2 linked regions of the Oreochromis niloticus genome follow. The protein of the gene in region 1 purifies or fractionates together with the protein of each later gene. This does not show direct contact. Links are inferred from orthologs where the notes say so. Each region holds a gene or a part of one and is shown on either strand. Other genes may lie near its edges. The genes, in order: med20 and cdk19.

Region 1 (10,296 bases):
TAATATTTCTAAATTTAGTGCTGAAATTGGAAATCTGAGATGTCCCAGAAAGCTTGTTTTCTGCAATGCAACAAGCTGCCAAATCCTCTCATTTACTGTACCCACTTCTTTTCCAAGGGTTACATGCAACTGGATCTAAGCCCACCGTTCGATGGACGTTTAATCAAACAATAACAGAGGTTACTGTTTACAGGCCTGAGAGACACACAGCTGTGGCCTGTAGGGGTTCTTGGAGTAGTTCATGGTGGATTTCAAAGTCTTTGTTGGATCACTGTCCAGTTGTATACCCCAATCTCATTTCAGTTTCCCTGTCGTGACTGAATCCATCATTTTTGCATGCAAAATTTGCCAAAGGTTAGTGAAATCTATTCCTCCCAGCTTACAAAGATGCTGCCAATGACAAGATCTCTTCTGTGCGTCAACAAAGGAAAACAGTACAATCACACCAATCAGTTAAAGCTTCAAGCAGCTGCTCGGCAGTCATGTGGGTGTTTTGCTTTCTGCTCAGCATATGTGCAAATTTATGGAGATGTTCTCTTCCAGGACTTGTCCTGACTTCACAGATGCCCTTTACTTTGAATTCTTAAGGATATTTCAGAAAGTGAAAACTGAAACTTGGAAGTTCTTTGACATTTTACAAATTCTTCATCCCTACATAGTTAATGCAACACATTTGTTAAAATGCTCAGCAACCCAAGTAAGGAAATCCTTGTTGTGTTTTCAGAGGGAAAAACATTTCATGACTCATCCAAGTGACTTAGTCAGTCTCAGCCGACTGTAGGCATCTCCAGCACCACTGCATAACAATGAGCCACAATATCAGTTTCATTATAACTGATGTGCAGATTGTCATCACCATTAATTAAAGGCCATGGGTCCTATTCATGGGGAATTGAGGAATGGCTGCAATCACAGCACTGTAACAAAAGGAAAGATGTACTTTTATGGCCTCTCCTTCTCTTTTCATGTGAATACTGTTTATGAACATGTGTGTGTCATATGAACACACAGCATTTTGAAAATATGCATTTCAGTGTTTCAGCTGAGACACATGTGGCTCACCAGTGGTTTTCCCTTAGACAAAACCTACTGGTTAAACCCCTTGAATTAAAGCTGAAAGTCTCCAGTGTTTGATTTAGGATCTCACTGTAGTGGTGCAAGTGTCCAAATACTTATACTAACTGTGCAGGCTGACCATACTCTGTATGATGCTGGCCATTGCAAAGCTACAGTCTGTTTCTAAGTGCATACTGTTCATTAGATCACCTAAGAGTATGCAGTTAACGCTCCATATTCAAATCATTCCTGCTCATGAAACTGAAATTGCTGTTAGAAACACTTTTGCTTTGACACTATACTCACATTTAAGATCCATGAGGAACGCCTCAAAGTAAATCTGAAAGTAAAACTTGGGATTTTTGTATGGAGACGAATCACATCTCTTTTCTGCTAGTCAAAGGATCTTTGTACAATCTAAGATTTTGTGTTATATGCATGATTCCCCCTTTACCTTGAAGCCTCTTTTTTTCCCTGCCCATCACAGTTCTTTTTGCTCAAAATATTATCTTGTATGAAAGGTTGGGATGGTCCACTTTATTTATAAGACATTAGAAATGGTCCAATTAGTTCTGCTTGTTTGTTACATTTAAATATAACACCTAGAATGTACAGTAACATTACATTTACATCTTATTCATTGTGAACCTGGAAATAAATGTATTTAAATCCTTTAGTTTGAAAAGACATGACTCTATATTACTATGATTACTATATTTCAGTAATCACTTCCACACACACACTTTTACTCAGTTCTGTCAGTCTGTTCTCAATCTTAAGTATTTATTATAATCCTCAGTCTCACCTTTAAACCATGCTCCCGGTTTGAACAGGGCCTTCTTCAGGGCGCTGTAGAGGTGAAAGTTGAGTCGCTTGTATTCTGCAATATCATCCCGTACTCGAGGTAGCAGCACTAAGTTGTAAAACCTCTGGGCCATTCGCTCTTTCAGATTGGACGAGAATATCCTTTAAAAAGAACAAGGAAAAATACTTCATTATATCACTTAAGAGAACTTGCGGAAAATTGATCATCACAAAGCGCATCAGCTCAAAGTTTACCTCGTCGCCTGGTACATAGCAGCTGCGGACCAGGAGTCGGGGTCAGTCAAATACAAAACCTGCTCCCAGTTTGAAAGCGCCGGTATTATTTTAAAAGCCTTTGGCAGTTTGCCGCTGCGGTATTTCAACAGAACCTGAGGCAGAAGAAGAGAAAGGACAACTTTAAACACGTCTCCATTAACAAAAACACACCTGCTATACAAGCAGTGTCTACAAACTCCCCCTCTGCTCGATATGATATGCATGACTAACCAGGCCAGTGGGCTTCTCCACTTACTGTGTCCATTTTCCTTTAGTTCGTCTCCCAATTAGTTCACGTGTGGTGGGCTTGAAGTAAACTTACCTTACCGACACCTCTGTACACTTCTGTTATTCTTGGGTCCAGCTGTGGCATCGGACACCCAGAAACCTCTGACATCACCGTGCCCACCTCTGTCTGCTTCTCTGTGATCTTCTCCATAATGATGTCAGCTAACGTCCGTCTGCAAGAGCCACAAAGAAACGAGCTAGTGGTTTGCCGACCAATCCAAATATCGATACCAGTGCTGGTATTGGTATCAGATCAATACCAGCACAATATGATCGATAATTTGTTTCTATCCTCCATGTTCATTATGTAGCCGACTGAATTATGTTGGATAAGTTATGTTTTGGAAATGAAAAACTATGCTTCAAACATGCACTATGAACCTTGTTGTGTTGATTGCAACAAGAGAACTGGATCCAAAAACCCACATTAACATTACAGCTCTAAAAAACAAAAAAATAATAAACAAGTTTCAAATTAAATGAAAAGTTAAAAAGATGTGCTTTGGTGTTTTAACTAATTATTATGGAAAGAAGAAACCAGTGATTTAACGGTCATTAAAATATATTTAGAATTTGCAAATTGATGGCGACTCCTTTATAGGTTAAAAGTGCTGGTATTGGCTCGATACTAGGGCGATATGGCCTAAAATCCATATATAACAATATATATCGCGATATATTCTTTTCTTCCGTATTTTCGCACTATAAAGGCGAACTTAAAATCCTTTAATTTTCTCAAAAATCGACAGTGCGCCTTATAATCCGGTGTGTCTTATGTATGAATTCTGGTTGTGCTTACTGACCTCAAACCTATTTTATGTGGAACACGGCGCTCAAAAATCTGTCAAAAATGTTTTAGTACGATTTTGGTAAGCTACGAAGCCGCACCGCTTGATGGATTTTCGGAGCATTACAGCTGCCGCAGTCAGGAGCCTGGCGGAGTAATCTGGGTCCAAAACTCCGTCTGCTTCAGGTCCCAAAGCCAAATGAACGCTGCGACATCACTGAGCATTAAAAACTGTCTAAATTCTTTCATCTTTAATAAAATGATCAGCGTTGCTTCTTTACCAGGTGTAACAATTAAGTTTAACATCCAGGCATCCATGAAAACCGAGCAGAGTTAGGAGTTAGGAAGGAAGGAAGCTCGCTAGTTTCCACCTAAACATGATATAGCATGTTCTGACAGAGAGGTTTCTGAAAAAATTCAAACGTACAGCTCTGCTATCACTTCCAACATAAGCGAAGACAGAAAACTAAACAGCAGTGACTTTTGTAGGGTTACTGAAGCATAATGATGTGCTACATGATCGCTAGCAACACAGCTATGTTAGCATAACATAAACAGTGAAGCTGGAGGATGAACGCCAACTTTTTTCCACTCGATAAAAGTTAACGTGAGGGTCTGACGGTTAGGGACAAATGCATGGCAGGATGCTGTAAATGGACCAAACTTCAGTCAGGACAACAACTGAGATAATCCATCCACAATACGAGGTTAGTTATTAGTATACTGCAACAACATGGGTATAGAGCAACTGCGAGAGAATTCAACATTAATGAATCAATGGTACGGAAGTGGAGGAAGGGCAGTTTTTGCCTTTCCTCATATTCCAAAACGTGCTTCATTTCTTCGCTATTACTGTCGCCCAATTTGCAGATGACATTGCTTGCAGCCGCTGCGATGCTTTCGACCAAAACAGGCGCAGCTTGATGAAACCATCAACATGCGCTATCGCTGCAGAGCGGTATAGTCAAAATCTCTACCGTTGGCCAAATTCATATCGTTTCTACCGTATACCGTTTATACCGCCCACCCCTACCCGATACCAAACTTTCCACTATTGCACAGCATTAATACAAACACAAAGCCAAGGATTTGCTGAGCTCGCAGCGCCTGAAGTTAAAGCGACGGTGTAGCTCACCTCACTGGTGGGTTTTTGTTCATGAACATCTCGATGGCCTTCTCATCTTCAGCGTCAACAACGATTTCTGTGTCGTACTCAACATCTGCAGGATCTGCTGCTCCCAGCGCCGGCCATTCTTCATCCGAGTCAGCATCCTGAGAGTCAGGCCCTAAAATAAGATTACAAGACGGAGATGGCTCATTAGAAGATCACACTGAAATGTTTTAGGTATAAATATTTTAGTTAAGTAAGGTTTCTTGATAAAGACAATCACAAGGAAAGATTTTACACTGTAACATGGATTCAACATGTGTTGCACTACTATGTATTTGTGTGAAAAACTCCTGGGTCATTTAACAATAGGAGGACAATTCAGGCTTTAAAAATATCTTATTATTTTATAATATAATATGTGTTTAAGAAAAAAATAAATATTAAATATGTCCAGATCAGGGATTAAAGATAAACTTTTTATGATATTTTAGTTTCTGTACGCATCTCTGCAGCCAATACTTCAGAACCCGAAAAAGTAGATTAAAAAATATTGTTTAATAAATTCTTGAGCATCTTTCACACTTGATAACAGATAACACTCAATTTTTATTCATTTAAGCAACTTTCAAAACCTACCAAATTTTCAATATGTACTTTTTTTTGGTAATTTCAGTATTCATATTTATATCTGTGCTCAAATAACACTATTCATGTAATAATTAAAGCAGTTACAAAGGCAGCAGATTAACAGATCAAACCCTTGTGAGCTAATAAAAACATTTATGACAATTTTATTAAAAATGATATGATCAGGGCTAAAAAAAAATTAGTAGTGTAACAGGGTTGCACATGATATAAGGGCTGAATGGATATATTACTTTTATTTATAGATTATGACATACCTGCTACAAATAAATATCCAGGACCAGAGAAATGCTATTTAATGATATTTTATGTTTTAAAGTGTGCTTGTGAGAGTGTATTTTATATGTATAGTAACAAGGCTGCAAGTCAGAGCTAGTATTAGTTTTTTCTCATGAAAAGATCTGTGCTGTGGAATGTTGTTGATTATGAAAGTTAAGGACAAATATAGGTATATAAACAAAAGAAGAAAACTTTTTAATTGATTTGTCTCCTTTTGATGACCAAAAGCGTAAGTAGAAAACATCAAACTACGTTGATTACAGCTACCTAATCTAGTCAGAAAACATTGAACAAATGCGATGTGTGTCAAAGCCAACTGACTTTTGATCTCCCCATGGTGTTAGCACTTCACTCGCCAGACTCCATTCAAATATCTGCCAATTTAAGGATAACTACAACACCAATCCAACATTACCGAGAACAGTGACTGGTGCTTTCTTCTTCTCTGGTGCCAGCCCATATTCGGTCTGAAGTTCCTCTTGTTGAATGCGGGCTTGTTGTAAGATTTTCCGTGACAACCGCTCGTCCACGTACTTGTCGTCGCTTTCTTCCCGGGTGTCTCTGATCTTAACCCGGCCTTTAGCTCGGACAATGTCCGCCTGCAGGATCTGGTCGGCCAGCGCCACCGGCGCGGCTCCGCTCTTCTCTCCTCCACCTTTGGACCGTTTGACTTTCGGCATCGCTGCGGTTTTACTTCAGCTGTGACCACAGTGTGGATGTTTCCGTGGACATGTGCGAGCTACAGGACAGACTTTACCAAACACTGTAAACAGTCACTGCTTCAACACGTGCGCAGGTCCGGCAAGAAGGAAGTGACGCATCGCACTCACGTAACATCCAGCTTTCGGCGACCACTTCAGAAAAAAAGTACAGCAAAGTCAGTTGACTGTTTCATTGTGAAATGGTGTTAATATTCACCATTCTTTATTATAAATAATATTTTATTTTATTTTTATTTTTTCTGTTGTTTTCTTTTACTGTACCGGAAGGCGTTTTGTTTAACCCGGAAGTGCTCAAACACCGTACTACAAGTGAAGAGAGGCAAAACATCAATGGGTGTTACTTGGTAAGGTGGTTTTTAAACCTACGTTTGATTTTAAACGTTTTTTAACCACTAAATATTCAAACAGATTTGGCCCAGCCTCAACCACCCTGCGTGTTTTTTTCTCATTGATCCGCGGAGGCGTGGCTCTGTCTCATTCAGCAATGCTGGTAACGTTACACGGAACAAAGTGTATGCTGGTCCCTCAAGTCCTCTGCTTGCTGTGCCCCTCAGTGTGTGCCAGGTGCCCGTGGCGGAGGGGAAGAGCGTGCAGCAGACTGTGGACATGCTGCACAAAAAGCTGGAGCAGCTGGGCGCCGTGAAGCAAGGCAGCTTCTGCGTGGACTGCGAGACTTACCATGCCACGGGAAATTCCAGCAGTAATATTTTTTTATCTGTTTGTTTCTGAGCTTTAGAATTCAGATTTATAGATCACATTAATGCAGACGTATTGCACTCACCCATCAGGTTGACCTGATGTCCCTGTCTAGGTGGGGCTGCAGAGTATTTTATCCCCTTTTCGTGTGATTGTTTGCAAAGAAAAAAAGATTGCCGGTATTTGAACTGTTTTAAATGACTTATTGGCCTATAATCTCTCAAACAGATCTCTCATGAACGATACTGAGTCATTTTGAGTCAGAAAGAACATTTCTATCACAAAGCAGAACTTGTTTTTTTGCAAAGTGATTTTCATATTTCCCTTATTTATCCAGCTAAAAGTGTCACTGACATAAAAAAAAAAAAGTCTAGAGAGATCTGGCAAAGAGGGCAAGAGAAATTGTGACAAATATAACATCAAAATTCTATAAAGGACTAGATAAGCACTAGATAGATAGTAAGGACTAGATTGACTATAATATAGGCACAATAAAGGCAGGATAACATATAACATATAACCCCCCCCCAGAAATGTCACTTTTTTTGTCACGCGAGCTGTGGCTCAGCTGGTAGAGAGCGTCATAGATCCCCATCTCCTCCAGTCTGCATCCTGAAGTATCCATGGGCAAGATGCCGAACCCTAAGTTGCCCCTGATGCATCCATCTGTGGGTGTGTGTGTTTGTGTGTTAGAAAACACTTAGGCATAGACAAAAACACTGTATGAATGTGAGTGTGAGACTTGTAGTAGGAAGTGCTTTGAGTACTCAGCTACATTAAAACGAGCTATATAAGTACTGGTGTACTGGTTCAATTTCCAGTTTGATTGGCTGTAGTTAGGCCAAAACAGTAAGGCAGTCACTTTTATTGGGAATTTATGCTTCTGATGTGCACCTCCTTAGAAATGTTACTACGAGTTCCATCGACATACGGTTACTGTCCTCTTCAGTACCGCTGATTCCTCCTGTGCGTCTTTGGCTACTTTTCCGCCACAGTTTTTGAATTTATCTGTGGGAGAATAACAATTATCATCAGTATAAGTAATAGTTATATATCTATATGGCCAGAAGTCTTTTTCCTTCCTCTTTTAGCTGTTTCCTTTAGATGTCACCACAGATCATCTGCCTCTATCTCACCCTTGCAGCTTCTTCTGTCACACCAACCATCTACATGTCCTCCATCACTACATGCATAAATCTCTTCTGAGGTCTTCCTCTTTTCCTCCTGCCTGGCAGCTCCTCTGTCTTTAACATCCTTTGCCCAATATATCTACTATCCCTCACTGTACACGTCAAAACCTCAGGTGCAAATCTCAGCCTTGCCTCTCTAACTTTGTGGAACTTTCATTTCCTTCCTCATCTCACCTGACAGTTTTAAGTGTTGTCTGTCCGTTGTAGGTCAGCCCTCCAAGCTCCTGTATGTGATGCACAACTCCGAAACCCCCCTGAGCTGCTTGGCTCTGTTTGAAGGTGGACCCTGCCTAATAGCGGATGCAAATTTTGATGTCCTCATGGTGAAGCTGAAAAGTCACTTCCAGAATGCCAAGGGACACAAGGTGGAGTCTCGTGGTTCGAGGTATCGCTACTGCGACTTCTTGATAAAAGTTGGTACCGTGACGATGAGCTCCAGTGCCAGAGGGATATCAGTAGAGGTGCGTGTGTGTATATATATATATATGCTGTGATAAAGACGAGTCACGTCCTTCTGCTTTCTCTCCGTGAGGCGCTAACTCCTGGCTTGCTTCCTCAGGTGGAGTACTGCCCTTGTGTCGTTCCTGGGGACTGCTGGAACCTCATGAAGGAGTTTATGCAGTCCTTTCTCGGCCCCAGCGTCCCTGAACTGCCATCTGTGTTTGCTGCCAAGCCCGAGGGACTCTTTGCACCAGCAGACTGTGTTGACACCATGACTCAGTACCTGGAGTTGTTCAACAAACTGCGCAAGCTGCAAATCCCTGGAAGCAATGTGCGCTGAGTTTGCAACAAAGATATCTGTTTTTTTTCTCTCCATGTTTGTACAGATGTTGGTATATTCCTGGTCCTATGGATCAGCGTTAGTACCCAGGCATTTTTTATTTTTTTGAACGTCTGGGGTTTTATTATCATTGCAGAACTTCACGTTAGCGTTGGATGAAAGCATTTGCAATAAAGAGACACAGTGAAAACAAGTAGTCAGAGTCTCTGAGCGTTCATACTGCGATGCCCTTTTGATGGTGCACTTTTATCTGAGAGTAGAGACACGAAGTATTCATTGATTTCTTGCTAGTTTACACAGGGATGAACCAATTTATCAGCTGAACGCTGGCCCTGTTGACTGTCAACTGATCTGATGACGTTTATCGGTGAGAGAGGTCGATTTTTATCTGTTGCATCATCTAAGTTTTGCGCTGGCTTAACGTTTAAAGATGATGTCACAAGGAGGTGAGAGATTTTTCTTTTCAAACAATCAAGTTTTCTTTGTTTTTCTCTGTCAGAAAGACAGGAATGAATGAACTAAACGTTGACTACAGGCCCAGGAATTTCACAGTCAGTCCAATCCCAAGGTTTATGCAGTTGGATTAGTGTTCCAGTATTAGGTGGAGGCTAACAAGTGAGGCTTGTCCTTACACGTGTAATGATTTTACAGTGGAAATGCTTTATTAGATTACAAAGAAGTATCTGTGCAGGTATCTTAGGGTGACAGTAAGTTAGATTGTTTATGTTGGATTGTTTAAAATGTCCAAAAGACTGGATCTAGCTTCTAAAACCTGAGAATTTAATTCTGTTTATAGATACTACATACTACATTATCTACAATAATCTGAAGATCTCACTTATGCTTGGCATCGAGTGGACTCTTATGTTAGAGCAGGAAAAAAAAGTAAAAAATGCAGAACAATGTCCTATTAAATTACCAGTAATTGGTAATTGTATTTAAAAAAAAATATATAATTCAAGTGTCCTACTAAATCACGATAATTACTATTGTTAATATGGTTATTTTTATCCATGCGTCTCCTAATCTCATGTGAAAAAATCCTGGATATCCAGCGTAACCACAACTGTAATTAAAGCTGATAAAACTGACATGACTTCTCTTTTAGGACTTGTGATATGTTATTCAGCTTTCAAACTCTCCCTGAATGCTGCACATTTCTTCCAGGCAGCGGCTTTCTTTTTATGTTTAAACTTGAATTACACTGATTTGCGCTGACGCATTTTGAAAGTAGTCCCTCCCCACGACAGCATCCAAAGGAGATGCGTCTCATAGGGCGCTTAAAGCTACACACACGCACACTACACGCGCGCGCCTCAGGTGTATTTTACCAGATTAACCCTACCGAGCTGACACATGGCGCGCACGGGGTTTAACGGGGACACCGGGGATCAGGGGTAGCGGCTGTCCTCTTAAACCCGGCTTCCACTCTGGCCTCCGTTATTGTTCCATGTGGCCGCTGTGGGTGGACGGACGGACGGTCCATCCTGCTGCCTGTTGTTCAGCCCTTCCGCCAATGAGAGCCCGTCTCCCGCTCAGCCCCAGTCCAATGAGAGCGGCGGGGTCTGTGCTCGGATCGAGAGTTGGGTTGTTCAATCTGTGAGGAGGACAACAAGCAGCTCTCTGAGTGTACACCGGATGGATGGATGCTGGCGATGGTA
Region 2 (10,892 bases), on another chromosome or scaffold:
AAATTGTAATCGTTGAACTGAGCCAACTGGCGGTCAAGGCGCTTGTAGCCCTCCATTTTTGGGGGAGTAGAAAAGACACTGCGACATTTGGAGCTCTGCAAAAGAAAAAACAAAACCACTTTACAGAAAGCAGTTTGAAATTCTCCCCCCCCCCCCCCGGGTAGATGCAAAATTGGATTTGAAATGCACCTGATTGACAAAGAGTGTAGTCACAAATTTTCCTGGCTTGAACACCTCCACAACCTTCCTGATCAGTTCATCATATGATGTCTGGGAGAGGTTTGTTTCAAAGCTGACGTAGGAGAACTCTGGCTCTGGGGTGATGTGGATGGTCCAGTAGGTTCCCTGTGGGGAAAACGAGCAAAGTCGGATTACTGATTTGCTTGAGCGTGCAACTATGATGAAGAAACAAAACGCCACTCACGTCAGTCTTCATCCCGTTCATTGAGTATCCACAAGGGTTGAACATTGTGGCATCAATCACAGAACCTGGTATCAGGTCACGAATTCCACTCATCTGCGAGAACAGAAGGAGACCGTGATTACACATGTTCAACTACCACCATATGCTTGTTCTGGGGGGAAACTTACACGAGTGACCTCACTTGCGGAAACACCGTCTTTCATGTAGAACTGGTCCATGATGGCTGGATCAAGGTCGCTCATCAGAACTTCCAGCGTCTGATCAGCATACTTGTTCTCCCAGTACTCTGGCATATCCAGAGTAAACAGGTACCTGTGGGGGACATGCAGGGGGGCTTAAGGAGTTTCAAACCAGGAGGATGCATGGAGCTGCTACCTATGAGAGGAGGCCTTGAACATCCTTTCAATTTAAGCTAAAGGCTTTTCACCTCCCCCACGAATTGGCATCTTGTTGTCACAGACACCAACATTCACTGACAAGTGCTGCTCCAGAAACAAGTATTTGATTATAATTTCATGACTGAAAATCTTGACCATCTTAGCTATTAGCATATTAAGCCAGTGTGGCATATTTTAATGCTCACCAGCAGTCAGAGTTCAAACGTCCCATACAGTAGGCTGCACCATCTGTAAAAGGAGGGAATATTATGGTTACCGTTTGAAATCAATTCAAAAACATTAGGCAGCTCTGAAGAGGAGCCAGATGGTGACAGTAATTCTTCAGGATTCACCACAACAATAAAATTAAGCTACATAGAATTACAACATTCTGTTATAACACTGAATTTCATTGTCCGAACAGCTACAGTATAAACAATGCACTCCACTGTGTCAGTATTACAAGCAACATTCAACATATGTTCTTAAATGATTGGTTAATGCAAATCTTAGGGTTTTTTTTATACACCAGGTAATCAATCAGAATCAGGGTCTGTCTCATGATTGGATATTTAAAGGTTCGCTGCCCCTGCTAGTCAGTGCCAAACTGTTGTTACTTTATTCATGAGGGTAAATGGATGACAGCTATGTTAAGCAGTGCTGCTCTGTAGTTCTTTTGTGCTAAAAAGCTGCATGTTGGTGTTGTCAGAATAAACTATAGAACTAAGTTGTCAATCTTAGAGTGGGAGAATCCTACTGCTACTAGCACCGCTAAGGTTATGTTTGATCAATGAGGAATGTGCTAATTGCTTAATACAGCTAACACATGAAATGTTTGTTGGTCAAAGTTTCACTTTCATCATTTAAAGTGTGTTTGGTTTCAATTTTTTGTGGGGGGTAGGGGTTGAGGAGTTCTGTCTTTTATATTAGTCAACTAGTCCAGCTTTTTGTTTAAACAACTAGCAGATTGTTTGCCAGGAGCAGCCATAACCCAGGAACTGTCCTGGGCATTTTCCAGCTATAAATTCAGACCATCGGGGATTTAACAGACTGTGCTGCAAACACCCTTTACTTGTGTGTAACACATTTCAGAGTTTCATGTATCACGTACTGGGAAAAATCTGGCTGAGGAAGTCCACTTCTTCCTGGAAGTTTCGATGAGGGAACTCTTGATGGGCTGGTTTCATGAAGTTCTTACGGGAGTAGAAGAAATTCTGCAAACGAGACACTAATGAATAAACCTGCGCAACTAATCAGCTTCATTGATACAGCTCGTTCAGGTTGAGATGAAATAAGCTTTGTCATGCAAATGCTAAACCAGTCTAACCTCAATGGTGTCGAAGCCACAGTACTCCCTGGCGAGTTCCAGCAGAGGCACCAGTGCTTGCAACAAGAGGGTGGTTCCGCATGTCTTCAAAATGAAACGTCTCTTGGAGACAAACATGCTACTCTCACTGTAGAGACAAGAAAGGAGTTAGTCACCAATAACCACAGAGCATTGTTTCCCTCATTACATTCTATGATACAGAATGATGATTAAGTAAGCCTGGTATCTTTGTAATATCTACAAAAGGTCATGTGAAGGCTTTCCCCCCCTCTTTTTTATAAACAAAAAGGACAGGTGAGCAAAAGGAGGAAGGGAAAAAAGCCACACCCTAGTTCCCATTCAACTTGTCATACTTGTTTGATTACCCAAGATGAGTGTAGCTTACTGGTTTCAGTTTAGGCTTCGTGTTAGTTTTATCTGACATGCCCATACTTGCCCTACCTTAACACAACTACACACTTATCTAAGGACTGCATGTGGCATGTAGAGTACATGCCCATATTGGCACCTGAGACTGCCATTAATGGAAATTAGGTTAAGGTCTATTTGGGAAGACTTTCTGCATGTATGAGCAGGCACTCACCTGAGTATATAAGCTTCCTGCTTGTCGGTCTTTGTCACACTTATTATCAAACAATGCACATTTTCCAAAAGTTTGTCCCACTCAAACCTGAAAGAAAAAGAACAAGTTAAATGCATACAAAGACAAAGTTGTTCACTTTTGTGGTCATTTTAAAGTGGCACCCACTACACGAAAGAACTGTTGATGGTTATGTAACATGGACAAGTTTGGAATGCTTTCAGGATTTTGAAGAGAAATGTCTATGAAGCTTGCTGTAGTCTTTACGCTGAAAAAGTAAGTGCATATAACAATTTCAGTGCTAGAGTATGCTGTGGGCATACAATACTGACATATCAATGGAGGTATTGTTCAGACTGAAATGTGTTTTCAGTCATGTGCAGATGGCTGTAGGGAAATGTGGACTTATTCTGCTCCTACAGCAGACATACACCTTCTAGCAGCTGCCTCTGCCCCCCGAACACCACCCAGACAGCTGGGTCACATTACAACCTTGGAAGAACAGCCAGACCCACTCACAGTGGGGGCCTGGGCTGCAAGGCAAAGCTTCCAAGAGGTAAAGTGTTCGATGAAAGCATACCAGCAGCTCAATAATGAATGCTTTATGAAACTGGCTTTTCTAGAGAACCTCTCAAAAACAAATGCCCCTGAGTAACCAGACTGCAGCAGTATGCATGAAGGCTGTGGGCAAAATGCAAGACCCAATTATGTTCCTTTCTACCTTGTCAATCTACAAATGAACTAGATGACTGAGGAAAAACAAAAAAACAAATAACCAAATAACAATGCATCCCTCAGACATGGTTCTGAAGACACCAAATTCAAGAATAGTACAATTTACACTGCAGCCTTTTGCATTTGAGCCTAATGGTCCAAGAAACTAAACTACAAATATGTTTACTACCTTCCAGTGCCACAAACACTTCATCTAATCCCTTAACAACATTGTCCTCAGAGAGTGACAGGCTTACGTCATCTGTTGTGTACATCACTTCCTCCCCCCTCCCGGGGGGGGGGCAGTATGGTATCACTGAGTCAAATGTGCTCCAATATCAAGTTTCAAATAAGGTCAACACATGAACAAGTAATCAGTTTTCAACTTCCAGCTCTGTATACTGTGTGAGCCCAAAACACCACCAATATAAAAATCTGGTTTTTAGTTTGTGCATAAGAAAATTGTATAAAAGGATGTGAAGGATTTCCAAACTGCACGTCTCAGAAGACAAAGGTCCTGCACTGAGGACCAACATTGGAGCAAGATGATATGAACTCTAAATCATGCTATAAGCTACTCTAAATATGGAACTGCAGGCGATGTGCCTTTAAGATGGCTTTGTTATACACAAGCTTCTCTTTGGCATTGTCCTCAATGCAAAGACTCAACATCTTTAGTTTGCCATCAAGGCCAAGCCTGATGAGAATGGGAGCATATAGTGCCATCTAAACTCTACTTAATCATATTTATATCATTTGCAATGTCAACAGTGTATTTGGAAGATGAACAAAGGCATTACAGGTATGTCTGGATACAGTTCAGCTCGATCACTTCCCGCAACATGACAGAGCTGTTACGACATGCCTACTTCCCAGCTTCATACCAGAGGCCAAGCATTGGCAAGCTGTGTCAGCTCCTGCCTCGGTGTGAAATCGACACCAGAGGTTATTTCTAGCTGTGCAACAAGACAATATTTTCCTCAAAGAAAGCAAAGTGCCAAACACGATCAGAATTTTCATGTATCCCAGAGATTATGAACACATGGCTGATCAAGACGGCACATGTTGGAACAATTGCTGCTTATCAGACAGAAAAGTGGTCACTTACTGGATGGCTTGAACACCGGGAACACTGCATTTCAGGTGTTTAGAGGTGAATATGCTGTGACTTTATGAACTAGTCACTCCTACAATCACTGGAAGTGTTTCATATGCAGTCTGAACCCTGACAAGGGGCAGCAGAGGTAACGTGAGCGAGCGAGCTTCACATTTGTGAATCCGATGCCCTTGTGGTCTTATTTGGACATTGGCTAACGTCCATCGAGTCTGATCCACTGACAGTGTCCCTTTGAGCCGTTAATCTGCCCTCTGGCTGTAAATTAATGCCAGCTCTCCTTCACGCCAATGGTTACACACTTGTCATAAACCAGCCCCTGATGTGGTTAACGACCAGAAAAAGTCACCCATCGCTGGGGATGATTTGGCCCCCTTGAACCAGTCATGAAATGACATGCTGCCAGAGGGGGAAAAAAAAACAAAAAACAAAAAAAACACCACACTAAGCAAAGGCAACAGACACCATTGACACTTTCACTTACATTAAAGAATCAGTACCATTCTTACCTCTATAGGTGACATAACCCAGGCGATTTTAAACAATCTATTAGTTTTACTGGGACAAGTTCCTCTAAAGTCTTGGAAACAAAAAATTGATTACGACACACGGTACAAGTCTGCCTGTAAGGGTTTCTCCTCGTTAAAGGTTGTTTAAAACGTGCATTTCAAATCAGCTAATTTTCCTAGCAAGCAAAAACCGAATTTCTCACAAGAACTGAATCCACATGGATTTTTCAGAATCTATCGCCACCCCCTGTCCTTAAACGTAACCAAGTGCCCCGCGGCACAACGTAACAGGGAACCCTCTAACCAATCAGAGCAACTGGGAGCGAGCGCACCGCATGGCCGAAAACGTGACCGGAACACGACCATACGCAGTTTCTCTCTGGTTAAACGCACAGCGGTAACAGACATGGGGCCAGCCTGTAGTATCCACAAGGGCAGAGGGACGGGTTCACGGTTTTCCCCAATCACTTATGAGCCTTCAAAAGTAAAGAATTTATTTTTTTTTTTAAATTAAAGGTGGAATTGGAATACTTGAATCTATTTCCGTGCCAACAAGGCAACACGCGGTGACAACGGACGACCACATGTCTCACATGCCCCCCTCGTTGTAGAGTGACGCAGGAAAAAATAAAGCATATGTAATTACAAAGACCAAGCAATTTAGTGCATAAGAGCACGAATATATATATGTAGCAGTGAACGCGAATTGGCAAATAACGACAATATGATCGCCTCTTCACTAAATCACAAGCAGTCTGCACAGCGTCGGCGAAATCAGGAGACGGCTGACAATTTGAATATTTTTTCCTAGGGACTAGCTTGCGGTAGCTCTAAACTGGTTGCCATGGTGGCGTCCAAGCCTCATGCGACAAATCAACTTGCAAAAACAAGCGATGGGAGCCGAATATATTAATTACCGCAAGCTCCCAGGGTGAAGAATGAATGACTCAGCCACTGTTAAAAGGGGGAGGTGGCCATTTTCCAATGGCGACGTTAGCTAGCTCCCTAGCTTAAGGAGCCACGGTTAGATTTGGTTCACTTCAATGCTTGCAGTCTATCCAGGGGTGGATTAATAACTATAATGAATACAGTGTCAACGGAAACGGGACGTGTACGATATTCAAGTTGTTATACATCACAAAAAGTGACAACTGAAGCCGTGCATGTAGCCGGTGTTTCTGTCAATGTACCAATACGCTGCTGTGGACTGACACTGCCTCGGAGATACTCAAGTGACACGAACCTTGGGATGGTACGGAGGTCTCCGTTTCCTTTGGTCTCATCCTGCCGAGAGAACCACACCTCCAACAGCTTCTCGGTCCCCTCGAAGAAATGTGCACCGTTATCTTCCATCGTGAGACAACAGACACCCAACAACCAAAAATATTACAACGTCGTTTAAAACGTTTACAGCTTAATTACTCCTTCCTCGACCTGTTATTATTTAGTGAGGTTCAGTCCTTTAAACAATCCAGGAGTTGATTTGCTTGAGTTACCGTCTTCCCTTTAGCAGAGAATACCGTTAGCGAGCGCTAGCTAATATCGCCGGCCATACTGTGTAAGCGCTGAATGGAGACCGCGCGGTGCTTTTATTTGGCAGTAGCCCTACGTAAGCCTCACCTCGAGCCAATCTGAACGCAAAGCCATATCTTGGGATTTGTGATTGGTCAGAAACCTATCAATTATAATAGAAGGCGGGTCTTCCGCCATGAAACTTTTCCGCCTGCATGTAGCTTTCCTCTGGAAATAAATACTAATTATATATATAAACAGCAACGTCAATAACATTACATGATATCTGAATTTAAGTTTACGAAGGCGAGTATGACAGTTGACGGCATGTTCGTGTAAAAGTCCTTTTCTGACAAGTTTTCTTCTGTTCACGACGATTACGTAACTGCGTTTTTTTCTAACACATGCCATTGTGTTTACTTATCACATTAATGTTTCGTTTGTACGCTCTCTCTTTTTTAAGATGTGTAATTTGTTTTTTCACTTAATGGTACTATAATACTAATGTTAAACTGCGAATATCAAATATAAACCACTTAAATGAGAATATGACCAAGTTGTTAAATTGGATTGAACTAAACTGGACTGCGCAGGTATTCATTTTAGCAAAAGAGTGTACTCATAGAAGGAAAATAGGTGAAAGAAATCCCAAAGGATAATAAATATCTACTGTATGTGTTACAGGACTTACTTGTCTCATCTCATAGTATTCAGGGCAGTGGGAACTCACACATACAATTGTCACCCAATATAATTACAGTAATTAAGTATGAATCACATACATATGACATGACATCACTACATCTGCATATACAGGTGTGTGTGCATGTCAAAAACCTATCGATTATTATAGAAGGCAAGGGTCTTCCATCATGATGTTTTGTTTTTTCATAACCTGTATTTATGGAAGACATTTCATATCTTTACCGCTGTAACTGCACTAAACAATTTTCTTCTTTTTCTTCTTTTTGGCTGACTGTAGTTCACAAAAGTAAAAAATCAATCTGAATCTCAAAAGAAAACTGTCATGGTCTCCGTGCCTGCCCGACCGGCCCCACAAGGCTACAAGTTCTCTCTCTCTCTCTCTCTCTCTCCCTCTCTGACTGGGCGGAGCTCACTGTGGGCTCCCGCCCTTGGCCCACACACCTGACAACAATCACCTGTCATCACCGGGAGCACTATTTGAGGCTGGAACACAGATTCTCTCGTCGCTGGATGATTGTACTACAGACGTTAGTGTTTCTCACAGCTCCTGTGAACCTGTGCTTAATAATTTGAGATTCGTGATTAGTTTGTGACTTCCCTTCTCTTCTGCTTCAGACCTTCCTCCTCGGACCTGTGACCTCCCTGCCGTGTGAGTGTGGGCAAGAAGACGTGAGAGAGCTACCCTGTGATTCCCTGGAGTTTTGGATTCCCTTCACTGTATATATTGTGCACTGGTGCTGTAAATAAACTGTTTTTGGAGACGTCAAACCGCTCTGCCCCTGAGTTCTACAACCAGATTGTGACAAAAATTGTGTCTTAAAAAGAGATGCAGCGACCTCTTAAACCCTTAGATGCTTATCAGAAAAAACAGCAGCTAAAATAACAGTTAAGAAGTTGGAAAACTCATATTATCCCCCGAAAAAACAACCCCCAAAACACCCAGGATGTTTGCAAATATTCTTAGGTTACACATAGCACTTGATATCTTTAAACAATTTGTAATAGATCCCATACCCTTCGGATCACATTTAGTTTGGTGGGAAGTGGTCACTCTAACTATATTAAATAAATACACTGCATAAATACACATTTGTTCGGCTTTTGCAATACCATTATTATTACGACCATTAAATAATAATAATAATCCAGCCAACGAGGATCCGTTTAGCTCATTTACATTTTACGTGACGTTAAAAAAAGGTAACCTCAAACCACCGACGGCCGCATTTTTGAAGAGCTTTCATGAGTACGCAAAGTGCAACAAACAGCAGCGAGAAACGCGGGTTGTAGTTTGCCATAGCTTGCCTGACAACGCGGCGAACTGCGGCGCCTGCTCACAAGAACTACCATACCCAGCGAGCCACGCGCGCCAATTAGAAACGTCAACGAGCCAGTGAACATTAAGCGGAGCAGACCAAAATCCCAAACAAGGAAATGGTGGGGGAATAAAACGACCAGATTATTTAATTAATGCATGTTATAATTAATATTTTATTTTATTGTAAATTAAGGCGTATTTATGGGTTAAAATGGATTACGACTTCAAAACAAAGCTGGCGGCCGAGAGAGAGAGAGTAGAAGATCTGTTCGAATATGAAGGTTGCAAAGTGGGTCGAGGCACCTACGGGCACGTTTATAAAGCTAAGCGCAAAGACGGGTAAGATAACCGTGAACGTTATTGTGTATGCTGACATAAAACTGACCGCGGGATGCATTTTGTGAACACACGCCTCGGTTATGTGATGAACAGGGCGTTCGATTTGAAGCTCCCCGAAGCGATAGCCCGTGTCTCTGTGTTTTTGTTTTCATGTAACGCACTCACTCACCAACGGTCCCCCCCACCTCCTCCTCCGTCCCCAACCTCACAGCTCCCCCCTTTCCTCCTCCTCCTCCCCAACACCCCCAAACAACAGTGTAAAGCCGCGGTGCTGTTTATTTTCTTACAAGTGTCTTGTTGGCGGTCGCAGCAAAGGTAGCTTGCTTTTTGATGCACGGGTATCGTCACTTCGCGCGATAGTGACACCTCAGCGTCTTTTCTTGGCCCCGCTTTCAGCATTGTGGAATGCCAAACTTTTTTTCTCCCTCTTTCTGACACACATTGTTTTCTTTCTGTCATTTGCTGCTTACACTCACTGACAAGCATATGACAGCGTGTGACCACGATGTATATATCAGCAACAGAAAGCAGGACAGATACGTTCTCACATTTCTGCTCTGCTGTGCCAACGGTGTCACTGTTCCTTATGCAAACTGGCAAAATCCCAGTCCAAAAAACTGGCAAAATCCGGCCAGTGCGCATCCTATTTGAATACTACAAGTTTCATTTGTACGATAGCCAAGTGGTTAATCACTCTGATCTAAAAATTACATTCAAGAAAAGCACCGTTAACCAAGGGCACAGTGCATTAAGAGCTGATTTTGCTGCCCCCGTCTTACAAATGCTTTGTCATAAAGTTTTCTCGAAATCTGAGATGGAAAAACTAATTTTAAGCATTAGATGAACTTATTATACAGATGGCCCAATTTGACTTCTTCCCATGTAATACTCGTTTTAGAATAGAATAGAGTAGAATAATGCCTTTATTGTCACTATACAGTTGTACAGTGAGATAAAGAGCATCTGTAACTCAGTCCAAACATGTGTGTGTGTGTGTGTGATGGGGGGGGGCACAGTTCTGCAGCACTATATACATATGAACAGTATTAACAGAAAAAAAATGTATAAAAATGTACAAATATACAATCCGGTGTAAGAAGAAAAAAGTAAATATGTAAATAAATATTGTTTTTTCCAGTCATGGCAGATGGCTGTCTCTCCCTGAGCCTGGTTCTGGTTTCTTCCTGTTAAAAGGGAGTTTTTTCTTCCCACTTTTTGCTCAAAGGGGGTCATTTGATTGTTGGGTGTTTTTTCTATATTACTGTGGGGTCTTTAATCTTACAATATAAAACATCTTGGGGTGACTGATGTTGTGATTTGGCGCTATATACATAAAATGGAATGGAATTGAATTGTCAGTGTTGTTATAGCAAAGCAAAGCACTGTTTTATTACCAGTAGGAACAGTATCACTCCAATTAGATCCAACCTAAAAGGAATGTCACAGGGAACATCTAGCTTTTCCACATTGATAATAACCATTATCAAGTCAATATTCATAACTGGTTAAGAATACACGTGTAACAGTTGTTTTTTGTTCATGTTTGTATAGCTATGGTTATAAAATGTCTGCACCTCCATGCACTTGTATTTTGAATATGTTTTGTATTTTTCCAAAGAGATTAAAAAACATGAAATAAAGTTAAAGCTTTATTAGCTTTATTTCTTTCAAAGTTTTGTCTGTATTGCTATGATAATGCTAATGTGGCCACAACCTCTATAGACAACTCAAATAATAAAATTATTATTAACATTTTAAAATCTTTGTAATAGAATCAAATTAAAATTGACCCAAGCTGTTAAAGAAGGCCTTTTCATCTTCATTTACTTTGAGAATTAATGTATTAAAAACTTTTACAATCACACAGTGTCTTTAAAATCTGAAACAGTTCAGGTTTGTAGATCAGTCGGACTGTTTCTTCCTCACTGTGTTTGTTAATATTGCAATATTGTAACTTTATCAGCAGTGTAGAT

Evidence for each region.
Region 2: the proteins of med20 (region 1) and cdk19 purify together in Homo sapiens (affinity purification with mass spectrometry; 5 studies listed by BioGRID and IntAct, counting the BioPlex papers as one, with this or other methods). This does not show direct contact. The link is inferred for Oreochromis niloticus from reciprocal best matches to the Homo sapiens genes MED20 and CDK19.

What each region holds. Positions count from the first base shown.
Region 1 is NC_031970.2:21,833,172-21,843,467, forward strand, and holds med20 (mediator of RNA polymerase II transcription subunit 20), read left to right. Parts: upstream 1-6,149; 5' UTR 6,150-6,298; coding exon 6,299-6,312; intron 6,313-6,522; coding exon 6,523-6,668; intron 6,669-6,699; exon of another isoform or gene 6,700-7,672; intron 7,673-8,028; exon of another isoform or gene 8,029-8,061; coding exon 8,062-8,315; intron 8,316-8,413; coding exon 8,414-8,635; 3' UTR 8,636-8,831; downstream 8,832-10,296. Other genes in the region: bysl (bystin), read right to left, coding at 1,862-2,022, 2,116-2,249, 2,459-2,597, 4,347-4,497, 5,662-5,926. UniProt on the Homo sapiens protein: Component of the Mediator complex, a coactivator involved in the regulated transcription of nearly all RNA polymerase II-dependent genes.
Region 2 is NC_031980.2:31,092,093-31,102,984, forward strand, and holds the start of cdk19 (cyclin-dependent kinase 19), read left to right. Parts: upstream 1-6,764; 5' UTR 6,765-7,789; intron 7,790-7,877; 5' UTR 7,878-8,791; coding exon 8,792-8,919; intron 8,920-10,892. Other genes in the region: amd1 (S-adenosylmethionine decarboxylase proenzyme), read right to left, coding at 1-95, 190-345, 425-517, 592-736, 1,008-1,050, 1,913-2,015, 2,129-2,255, 2,712-2,798 and 1 more.